Linked DNA regions of Coturnix japonica. The protein of the gene in region 3 interacts with the protein of the main gene of each other region in a pairwise test. Links are inferred from orthologs where the notes say so. Each region holds a gene or a part of one and is shown on either strand. Other genes may lie near its edges.

Region 1 (3,648 bases), about 13 Mb from region 3:
TCACTCCTTGGCAACTGAATTCTCACAGATTTTAAGACCTTGTCATTTAAGTAACTGCTGCTATTGCTTTCAACACTTCAGATCCGGGTTGGCCTCACCACTCACCTACCCTCATTTTTTACCACTCCAAAGCCCAGTGGAGTGCAGTGCCCCCTGCAGCACACCCCAATCTGCTCCCGGGTGGGTTGTCAGTAGCATTCACTCTGATCATGTGAGGGCGGTTGCAGACTTTGGCCGGGCCTCCTCCACGTGGCCAAAGCCCTTCAGAAACGACAGAGATCCCGCCACCGATTAGCACGTACAAACATTTATTTTGAAATTTCCGTTCTAACCATTATGAAGAATTACATCATCAAAGCACTTTATGGCAGTGAAAATAGCTCTTACCCCTCTGACTCATCCGTTACTCCATTAAAGCTGCAAAATGTGCAATCTGCTTGAAAAATAGGTTGCTTTTATTCAGTTTCCCACGAAAAGTCAAAATTTAATAACAAAACAAAACAAAACAAACCAACAAAAAAAGAAACCCAGCTTATAGGGACTCTACATCTGCTCCTCTCCCCCCTTCCCCCAAAAATAACTTACAAAGATAGTTTAAAGTTTTAAATGAGTTTTAAACCAAGTGCATCTTTTTTATTTTATTTTTTTTTTTCCATAATAATCTTAAAATTCTAAAAACCCATAATTTACTTTCTTGGAAAAAAGGCAGCGAGCCGTTGCTTCTTGATTGGAAGAATGTGTATTTCGGGCGAGTTCATTTTCTTTAGCTTTACGCTCCTGTTCTTTACGGGTTTCCTAAGCGCCTCGGCGTTGTCCCGGGGCTCGGGCTGGCTCTTCACATCATAACACTGCAACACTGAGTCCTGGGGCATGTCCCTTTTGAAGGAGAAGTTTTTGGTGGACACCCCTGACAGGCCCTTGATCTTGCCGCAGAAGATGGCGGGCACAGCATCCTTGACGGAGACGATCACTTTGGCTGTCTGCGAGGTGCTGACGATCTCGATGTTGTTGCCACCGGCCTTGGGTTCACAGGCCGCCCTCCCGGCTGGTTCCACCAACCACTTCTGTGGCGGCCGCAGGAGCTCACCTGGCCCTGGCCCCGCCACCCTGCCCTCCGCCTTGCCCGCAGCCTCTGGCGCTTTGGCGGAAGTGAAAGGGGTGGCCGGCTTGTCCTGTGGGCTGCCCTCGGTACTGGGCCCGCTGCCGGCCATCTCCCCATGGGGGCCCCCTGGCTTGCGGCAGGAGGAGAGAGACAGGTCCAGTGCCCCATCCTCAGGGGATGGCGGTGGCGGGGCAGCCTCGCAGGCCCGAGGCACAGGCGGGCCCTTCATGGAGAGGTCCAACGCCTCATTCTCGCTGCCCATCTTGATGACAGTGTGGCGGCTTAGCTGGGAGAAGTCCCGCTGGTGGACGAGGTCGAAGGGCTTTGTCTCCTCCTTCTCCAGGGGAGTCTGGGTGCCCTTGCAGGGCTGCGGGGTGAAGACTGGGGGCTTGGGTGGGTCAGTGGCTACCTTGGCCTCAGCGCCGTGGGGTACGGGGATGGGGACAGGGATGGGAATGGGCACCGGGACGGGCAGTGGCACAATGACAGGGTAGGGCACCAGCAGTGTGGCAGGGGGTACCAGAGGGGAGAGGGGTGAGCTGAAGGCCTGGGGGGGGAGGGCAGCATAGTCAGGAGGGGGCTGGCAGGGGGCTGAGCCCAGGGTGCCCTGCCCTGAGGGGAAAAGGTCCTGCAGGACTGCAGCGAAACCAGGCGTCTGAAAGACGGGTGGCAGCACGGGCTCCTGGCCTGGGCCTGAGGGCTTGGGGTCCAGGAGCTGGGGCTGACTGACAGGGGCAGAGGCGCCCGGGAAGAGGCTGCCATGCAGGGGGCTGGCTGGGCAGGCAGTGCCAGGGGGCAGCACCAGGGGTGAGTTGAGGTGCTGGAAGACATGCTGCTCCAGCAGGACTGGCAGTGGGACGGGGCCTTGCGTGGTCATGACGTATGGGGTGGCACCACCAGCCGGCATCTGTGGGGCAGCACTGCCAGCCACCTGCAGGTGGATGGGGAGGACAACGGGGCTGTCCCCAAGGCAGATGGGCTGCAGCACGGTGGCCGCCACCTTCAGTGCCACCCCACTCTGTGACTCGGCCGGCGGTGTCAGGATGGAGGGAGCAGGGACGGTCACCAGCGGGGACAGGGCCTTCTTCATCAGGTCAGCTGAGTTGATGTTCCAGGCCTCTGCCGTGATCAGCTGGGCCACACCGTTCTCCAGCTTGTTGTTGGCCATCGCTGCCGGTGGGCTGGTGACATCCATGGGCAGGTTGGGGGTCTCCTTGTAGAGCTCCTCCATCTCGCAGGGCTTTGTGGCTCCGCAGCGCCGTGCTCACATCACCATCAGCAGGACGGGGCTGCCATGGGCTCCGGCATTGACATCGCTTGGCCTGCGATGCAGAAACATGGTTTAGGCAGTGCATAAATCTCCTCCTTAACAAAACATTTGCGACTGTCTTGGAAGACCCTGTCACCAAAACAAGCCCTTAAACGTTTCCACGTTTCAGGGCAGCGGCTCCACAACTCACAGCGGTAATGTACACAGCGATGCTATATATACAGACATCCGTGAGTGCTGTACGAAGAGTTTTGAGGAACTTATATTTAGCCATAAACACAGATAATTTAAAGGACTTGAGGGCTGCCTGTAGTCAAAAAGCCCCACCCATATGCAAGCCAACCCAAGGGCTCAGGCAGCCCCTTCTGCCGCCTTAAACAAAGTCTGCCTAATGACAGTGTGTGGCAGAGCCCAGAGACTGCACACTGCTTTAACTCAGCAGGAGCACAAAACCAAGCGTTTCTAAAAATACACAGCTCAGAAATGTTCCACCGTGGCAAAGGGTCCTCGGTTCCCTTGTAAGAGCTGTCTTGTTTTCCTCCCATGGGGTTTTACTTTAGTGGGTCAGGCCATTGGTGCAGTACCTCTGACACGGCCCTTTAGAAGGACTAGAGGAAGCCATGAGGATGACCAGAGAGCCAGAATACCTCCTCTGTAAAGAAAGGTTGAAGAAGTTGGGCTTGTTCAGCTTGGAGAAGAGAAGGCTGCAGGGAGACCTCATTGTGATCTTCCAGTACTTGAGGGGAGCTTATAAACAGGAGGGAGACTGGCTTTTTACAAGGGCAGATAGAATCCTAGAATCATAAAGGTCAGAAAAGACCACTACGATCACCCAGTCCAACTGTCAGCCCATCACCACCACCCCACTAAAGATCATCTCCCTCAGTGCCACATCTACGTTTCTTCAACACCTCTAGGGACAGAAATCCTTTATTCAGATGTTGGTGAGGTGCTGGCACAGCTGCCCATAGAAGCTGTGGTGCCCCGTCCCTGGAGGCGCTCAAGGCCAGGCTGGATGGGCTCTGGGCAGCTGAGCTGGTGGGGGGCATCCCTGCCCATGGCAGGGGTTGGGGCAGGGTGGGCTTTAAAGTCCTCACCAAACCATTCTGTGATTCTGATTCAGATTTACTTTACCAGCCAATGCCTTTATCTAAACCAAGCAAATGTCAACAGAAAAAAAAGGACAGAGACTGTTTCTGTTGATGACAGTGAAATCTACAACCTGTTTCCTTCAAAAATCAACACTCTGCTCCCCCCACGTTCCCCTGCGAAGCAG
Region 2 (3,648 bases), on a different chromosome or scaffold from region 3:
TCAACTTAAAATGCACTGAATTTTGGGGGGTTGGATCTTCTTCTATGGCTTCTTGTTCTGTATTCAAGGCAGACATAAATAACATACTTTTGGCAATATAATATAAATATTTTACTGGGTTGTAACTCATTTCCATGGCAAATGAACACGTTACTGGATAACTCTGGTCTCTTCCACACAGAGACCATAAAAGGTCTTCCACACGGAAACAAACTGTATTAAATTGTAAGGAACAGCAGTAATTCCCCTTTTCCCTTTGTTTTCATACAGAACTGCAACACAACCTTATGGACTGTCAATTCAAGCCCTAGTGGTGAATTTAAAAACTCACAAAGTAAAGGTCCCTTCTGACTCTGAGGATTCTATGATGATGATCTGTAGCTGCACCCTGACCTGAATCACTGTGTACAAGGGATGCTCTACAACATCAATCTCGTCTCGGTGCTGTGCATCCAAACACAAAAGAGGTTCACCTTGGTGAGTCTTCTCTTCTGCATTGCACAAAAGGGCAGAAAGGTTGTAAAAGAACAACTGAGACAATCCTTGCAGAGGGAGAGCCATGGGAAGCCAGAAGTGGCCCTGGGCTGTTCCACGTTGCTCATCCCCAATTCCTCTGGAGCTGAGACGACACAGAGGACACCTCCAAGCTCTGCTGCTCCACGCCAGCCCCTGACCATCCTACACCAGCAGTCTTGGGAAAGGGGAAATCAGGGACGCTTGCCAGAAGTCATAACTTTTAAGTAATATGAGACAGGACTTCAAAAAAAAAAACCACACAAAAAAGCCCTCTACAAAAAAAGATAGATATTTTCTCATTCCTCCTATCCTTTTTCAAACTTGACTCTACACCACATAGCGATTAACCTCCTTAAGCCCTGAACTTTTCTTGTCTTCAGGGACACAGGAGGGGGCAACCCTGCAACTCCTGCTGCAGAAACAACAAATCCAGAAACAGCAACCTTCCTGTCGTCTCTGTGGGATGCCCTATCAGCTGTGAATCAACACAGGCAGCTGGTATCTAAAAATGGAAACAAATAAACCAGGCATATTAACAAAGCTGGGAACAATAGTGGTGTAGTTCCTGCCCCATTTCTGCACAGCTTCCAAAGGGTTTGTGTAGGGATACTGGAAAAATACAGAGCCAGCATTTCTCTGAACGTTTTAGTTCATGGCATCTTTCGTGTATGTCTACTCTGGGATTAAGTTTTGACTTAGAAAATACGCTGTTTGCATCTTCTGTAAGCTTAAAGCCTAGCCTCAAAGTCTGCCCAGATGTGGTTTCTGTAAGGAAAAGAGCCTGAGGTTTGGCACTAACTTTTACCAAGTCTTACCAACAGGATCTGGAAAATGTTTATCAGACAGCAAATTGTAATCTTCTTCTAAAGTCAGTACTTTGCCTCCCGCAGGAACAAGATGATGTTTAGGGCTGAGTCCTTTCTGGTAGGCCTGGAAAATCATGACAGAGGGAGTCAAAACTGAGATTTAAGAAGGGGGAAAGCATAAACTACGTTACTGACAAAGTTAATGCACAAATTCCTCAAATAAAAAGGTTTTTGTCAGGCTGAATGTCAGATATATTCACTGGACATATCAAGTCTAAAAAATTTAGTAAAGTAAAAATGGTATATAGAAAAGATCATTCAAAGCTCATCAGCCCCAGTGAAGACTCAGGGACAGAAGAGAGGAGCCAATAAAAGGTACTTCAGCAGACTCTTGGGCATCCCTGTGAAGTTTCCAACCAAGGCTGCAAGGCTGGAACAGCCTCCCTGGGATATTTCATCTGTTGCTAGAAGAAAGGCATTTAGAGCAACAGATTCCTCAGATCTCAGTCTCTTGGGGAGTGCTGAAGAACATAACAGGAGGAAACATTTACCTCTTTGGTCTCAAAGCAATCTACAGTGTAGTCATTTTTGATAACAACATATCTGTCCTTCCACTTCTTCACATCCTCAGCAAAATGCAGCAACTCTGTTTCATACAAGACGGTCCCAGCTTCTGATTTGGGCTATAAAGAAAATTTTCTAGATTTGAAATGATTCCGGATTTACACTTCTTTGTAACACTTTTGCACACGTGGTCTGATAAATAGCATACAGTTTTTGGAAAGATGTTGCTTTTCTATTACACCACCTTCCACTCCCAACCACACTGCTTTTCTCTGTACATTTCAAGAGCATCAGAAATCCATGATTTTAAACACAGCCAGAAAAATCAGTCTTGTATTTTCATAGAATCATCACTTGGCTTGGGTTAGAAGGGACCTTTAATATCATCTAGTTCCAACCCCCCGCCCACAGAGACACCTCCCACCAGAGGGCTCACAGCCCCATCCAGCCTGGCCTTGAGTGCTTCCAGGGAGGGGCATCCACAGCCTCAACTGAGCAACTTGTTCCAGATCTCACCATTCTCACAGTAAAGAAGTTCTTCCAAATTTCTAGTCTAAATGTACCCTCTTCCAGTTAAAGTCATTTCCCCTCATCCTGTAATGGACATGCCTTTATAAAAAGTCCATCCCCAAATAATTTTCATTATATTAAAGCACTGGGGTTTTATATACGAAAACATCTAAGTAACTTCATAAGTATTTTGGGCTTGATTTTTAGAAGCTCTGAGTATCTGTATTGCCTATTAACTTTACTTAAGAGCATCCAACACCAGGATAAACAAGAAAACCAAGTCCAGCTGGTAGCTGATACACTTCCAGTTCATGTTTTTCATGTATTACAGCTACTAAATGGCTTGTTTAAATAGTTTTAACATTAATTATTTCATGAAGGAGAGCAAAGCTGTAGGCAGCTTCAGGCTGGGGCCAGGCTTACGCGTCTTCCTACCCTGGTTTTCAGGAACTGGGACTGGGAGTTGCGGTGCTGCTCCAGCTCATCCTGCACATGCTTGCAGAAAGCCACGGCGTACTGGTGTTTGTAGTGTGGGCTGAAGTTTTTGATGATAGCCTCTGTTTTTCCTGAAGGACAAATAAAGACTAATTATACTTCACGTACACTAGCTCAGAAGCTGTAATGCAGAACCAAAGAAGTTTTTACCACCAACTCATAATAATGCCCAACTGCACCCACGGCCACTTGTTGCCGAGCAGGTCAGGGAGCCCTCATGGATGCATTCAGCTGCTGTGATAACACAAGTACAGATTTTTCTCATTCCAGAAGCGACAGAATTGGGCAAAACATAACCCAAGTACACTACCTTTAAAAAAAGACACTCTGCCTCTCCCACAGACATACTGCCATGGAGCAGTGGATGCCTGCAAGCTGATGAGCTTATTGAAGAAACATAATCACAAGTGATAGTGGGTAGTGTTTACATACTGGATAGCGTTTAGACATGCTAGCCAATTTTATCACATCATCAGATTTTAAAGCTGACTCAAAACTCTTTGCAAATGATATTTTCTAGACTTGGGCACAAGAAGTCCCTTCTTTGTTTTACTGTAAACAGACACTTAGCCACGCTGTGTGAAATGCTCATCTTGTATTGTCTTACTATGATGGAGATCTCATCAGTAGCAATAACAGCAATAAACACATTGAGGGGCTGGTTTCTGGGAATCTTACAGCAATTTACAAGTAATTAACACGTTTACCATAGCAAAGAAATAATGTTTTACAAACAGGAAAGCAAAGCAAGAAGTTA
Region 3 (4,296 bases):
AGCCTGTATTTACATACCCTTTCTTCTCTATCTTTCTTCCTTGTAAAAATGCCCTTTTATATTTTCTGTATTAAGGAAGGGTTTGAATGAGTCTTCCCACTCCCAGCCTCCTGCCAGCTGCAATCAAAAGTCTGCATTGTTCTGATGGTTTGCTGTTTGGAAAGGAATAAGTAAAGATATTCACCCATTAATCATATATTAAAATGCTAGGTAAGAACAAAGTATTATTGTTGGAAAGACTGCCTTCAGCATGGGTTCGCTTTGGGAACAAGCTTTTGGCCTTTTTGTTTTATTTCACTTTTAAATTCAAATCTGGTGAAAAATCTGCACTCGTATGCATGTTCCTGCATTTTTTCAAGCTAAATATCTTGGGCTAGTGTTTAGAAAAAAACAACAAGCAACACTGATGTTTTGCTGCACATGATTGGAATGCTACTTTTGCTTTTCTTGTTTTGTTCTGTTTTGTTTTGTTTTTAAGGGGGAACACTGTCTGTGTAGCAACAACGATAATTTAACACTAAGAATCCAACCAGAATAGTTGTTTTATTCCTATTGTTTTAGTCTTAGACCTGAATGATAGGCAAAGAATTTGAGGACATGAAAATGTTATTTTCACACACAACTTCTTCGGTGCTCAATTTACTACACTCTGCACATCAGTTGAACATAACTGCAGGATCCTGGGAAAAAAATGGCCAAGGGGAGCAGCAAATCTGGCTAGGGTAGCTCCCAACATGTGCTGGTGGCCCACGCAGAGCCAATGTTGCAATCGTTGGTAGGAAGTGCTACCTTTGGTCTGTAGCCAATTTACAAAACTCATTTCATCAGCACTAGGGACAAGTAGATCAGAGCCGTGTATGGAACTGAGCAGGACAGACCATAAGTGCAGTAGAACATAGGGATGTGCAGAAGTATCAGCTGTGGTGTTTGAAGAAGTTAAGCCTTCCAAAGCATTCTTGAGGGGATAGTAAGCCTTTAGATAAGATAGACATGTGCAGACTATTTGGTATTTATCACTTTTTTTCTTTTATTTCTGATGAAATTATGTTCTGTTCTTCACATAAAAGATGGAACAAGCTTGTTCTTAAGCTCACTGTCTCAACACAGTCTACACTAATGGTCATCACCCCCTGCCAGAGGAAGCCTGGAGAGCACATCCCAGACAAGACAAGCTAAATGAGGTCAAACACACTGTCAGTGATATCCTACTCAGTGGAAGATGGAAACATGGGAGCAGACTGATAAGCCACATCTATGTCATGAATCAGAGAAGACCTCAGGGTACTCCCAGGTACTGCAACTCAATGATCTCTCTAGCCAGCTGAGCAAACATCAGCTTGGGCTCTCCCATTTGGGAGTGAGTCCCATCTATGTGGCTATTTTGGTAATTGTATTTTTGATACAAGAAGCATGTAATGGCACGGATATTCAGATTCTGGATTCAGAGCATTGCAGAGGGTATTGCATGTACTGCTGTAATGGGGGCAGAGACAGCCCTGAGACTGGATTCAACTTCTTCATGCTGATGTGTTCAGTCAACATTTGATGTGAAAATCCACGTCCCAGCTAAAGTCAGCAGATCTCCAGCAGTTTGGGATCAGCTAACGGCCTATCCTTTTGCCTTTTAAATCTCCACTTAGGGATTGAGGTCAATTCCTAGAGCTTTGAAGTGAGGTGACAATTTACATGAGCCTTAGGTTTGGCTCAACTGGGGTTGATAGGGGCCTGAGGTCCTGTCAAAGCCTACTGAACAATGGCTGCTCAGTATTTTGGAAAAATAAGCCACCACAAAATAACTCCTTTCATTTCATTTCCTAACACAATAAACAAATTCTAGCTTAAAATGTGATAGTTTTAGTTCTTGGACTAAAAGTAAATATCACCTTTGTATCACTCTTCATGGTCGCTGGATGAAAGAGATTTTCCTTATAAGGATTTTTATATTAAAAATGTGTGCACAAATTCATCCAAACACATATATGCGTACGCACAAACAATCTTATTTTTCCCAAGAGGTCTTCTTTTATTGGCTTCATTTGAAAATTAATGCTCTCATGAGATGAGGTTAAAAGTAATTTAATGTAACAATGGCCTGATAATTGGCATTTGGCAGTTATTGCTAATGCTATTTTATAGTCTGGTTCTGAAGAATTTGTGCTTTCATACGCAGACATGTTTTAGTGCTTTTCTTTCTTTTCCCTCTTCACACAGCTGCTGTAACCCATATCAAGCAATTGTTTAAACAAGAAATCAACAAGCATCGCTTGTGATTTGGCTTTCTTTCCTTGCAGGCTGTTAGGAAATGGTCTCAAAGAGGGAAAAAAATAAAATGTTCCTTCTGCCCTCTATTTTTCCCCACTTTCATAAAGAAGAAAATGCTGATGGAGAGGAAAAAAGAACACTAATCACACACTTTCCGCCTGAAGTCATTCAGTTTTCTATTCAAACCAGGAAAGTGTCTATAGTTAGACATGGTTGTATTCCTTGAGAACATGGAAACGACAGCATATTATTAGTGCAGAAACTAAAGAACAGCTGCTATTTAGCACCTGGTTCCCAACAACAGGCTGGAAATACAAAGTCAGATGCTCTGTATGTGCCCTGGCAACAAGGAACGAACAAACAACCGAAAATCCCCTTTTCTGGTAAGAAAGAAGCCCTCCCCTTGTGATATCTGCCCAAAGCCTTAAGAAACTTCCAGCCCCTGTTACAGAGGGAAGGTGAAAAGAAGAAAAGGGGCCAAAGGATGGTATAATCCAGACTGGTCACTGTCTTACCTTGCTGCAGCTCGGTGGTGCCTCTGTTTGTGAGAGCGCGAAGGATGGGAGCAAACACAGGGACTCGTGGCTTCATTGGATTACCCACACTATGTATTTAGTAATTAGACAGACATTTGTACTTCAGATGAGCTATAAATATAATATCTCCAGAGCCCCAGGCACCCAGAGGAGATAAGGACTGCAGTACCTCTGTGCCACCGGCCTTTTAAGGCATCACAGATATAGCAACACAAGGCCCCCAATGGAAAGGGCTGCTGTCCTCCTGACCTGCTCCATTTCAGAGTGCTGGATCTCAAAATACACTCACCTACTTTCAGGAGTTCCTGCGAGTGTTCCTCAGAACGCCAGAACTATTATATGATTTGATATTTTCACTGAGCTATAAGCAACTCTAACTTCTCCATCAGATTATTCCCCAAGGCTCTGGGATTAACAGAAATGCCAGCTGCTCTGTGGATGCGGTGAACTCCAACTCCCCTTCATCTGTTTGTCTGTCCATCCCAGGCATACAGCCTCACTGCAGGGTGGTCTGTCTGCCTCATTGTGCTCTATTTGATCCCAGGGGAAGACAGTGGCAGCACAAATCAGTGGTCACAAATCAGTGGGTATGGGCAGAGGCCTCAAAGCTCAGGAGCCTGCTTTCCCTGCTGGGCCCCTGCTCTCTGCAAGGGAGGTGTAGAGCAGAGGTGTAGGGGACACTCATACATATAAGGAGTGAGAGATTAGAGGTAAAAGAGAGGTCTTCCAGCAGATCCTGTGGGCACTGCCCTTCTGGCTGCAGAGATGAAACTGCCCAAACAAGGCTCAGTGCAGAATCAGGACTGCATCCTAGCTCTTTGCCCATAATGGATCCATCTCTATATTTTGATGTGTTTCTACAGAGCAAGATGCAGCACAGTTGTGGTCCTTGATCAGAATGTTGTACTATTTTAATTTGCTTTTTAGAAGAAGAAAAGGTAATCCTCTTCAACACACAGATGAAGAAAGAGCATTGGGCAACCTCTAGGTGCAGAAAAATGACTCTCCCTTACACGGCAACATATGTCTTAGAAGAAATACTACGCTTTTAAACTGAGATTATCTGTTGTTTCTTCTCCTGCCTGAAGCAGGATTATCTGCCATCAATCTCTCTGTTGGATTTATCTATTACTTCCACGGTCCCAAAGAATGCCCCGTTCTCTACATCCCCTTCTCCTCAAATTGTTGGTAGTTCAATAGTTTTTAGGAGGTCGTGTCACCTCCCAGTTCTTCTCTGAACACTTTGTTTGGTCAAGCTGTGGAGACTGGATACGGACACAAAATTTGTGCCAGGGTTTTTGACATGACAAATGGATTTATGGCTTGATTTGGAGCCCAGTCAGGTTTTATGGTTTTAGCGCCAAACCAATCAGAAGTAGGCATCTGAAGGGTTCATCCTGACATAAAAAAGCTCATAGCAAAATGTCCTCAACCCCTGCCAAGCAACATAATTTGACAGCATGAGTTCAAGTCTCCTGGAACAGATGACATCTGCCTT

Evidence for each region.
Region 1: the proteins of FHL2 (region 3) and RAI2 interact in binary tests that used the Homo sapiens proteins (3 or more experiments, as listed by UniProt). The two-hybrid records come from large-scale screens. The link is inferred for Coturnix japonica from reciprocal best matches to the Homo sapiens genes FHL2 and RAI2.
Region 2: the proteins of FHL2 (region 3) and NIBAN1 interact in binary tests that used the Homo sapiens proteins (3 or more experiments, as listed by UniProt). The two-hybrid records come from large-scale screens. The link is inferred for Coturnix japonica from reciprocal best matches to the Homo sapiens genes FHL2 and NIBAN1.

Annotation. Positions count from the first base shown.
Region 1 is NC_029516.1:108,813,386-108,817,033, forward strand, and holds the end of RAI2 (retinoic acid-induced protein 2), read right to left. Parts: intron 2,425-3,648; 5' UTR 2,334-2,424; coding exon 687-2,333; 3' UTR 292-686; downstream 1-291.
Region 2 is NC_029523.1:7,389,706-7,393,353, forward strand, and holds part of NIBAN1 (protein Niban 1), read right to left. Parts: intron 2,963-3,648; coding exon 2,832-2,962; intron 2,006-2,831; coding exon 1,874-2,005; intron 1,447-1,873; coding exon 1,332-1,446; intron 1-1,331. UniProt on the Homo sapiens protein: Regulates phosphorylation of a number of proteins involved in translation regulation including EIF2A, EIF4EBP1 and RPS6KB1. May be involved in the endoplasmic reticulum stress response.
Region 3 is NC_029516.1:121,912,964-121,917,259, forward strand, and holds the start of FHL2 (four and a half LIM domains protein 2), read right to left. Parts: upstream 2,905-4,296; 5' UTR 2,778-2,904; intron 153-2,777; exon of another isoform or gene 18-152; intron 1-17. UniProt on the Homo sapiens protein: May function as a molecular transmitter linking various signaling pathways to transcriptional regulation. Negatively regulates the transcriptional repressor E4F1 and may function in cell growth.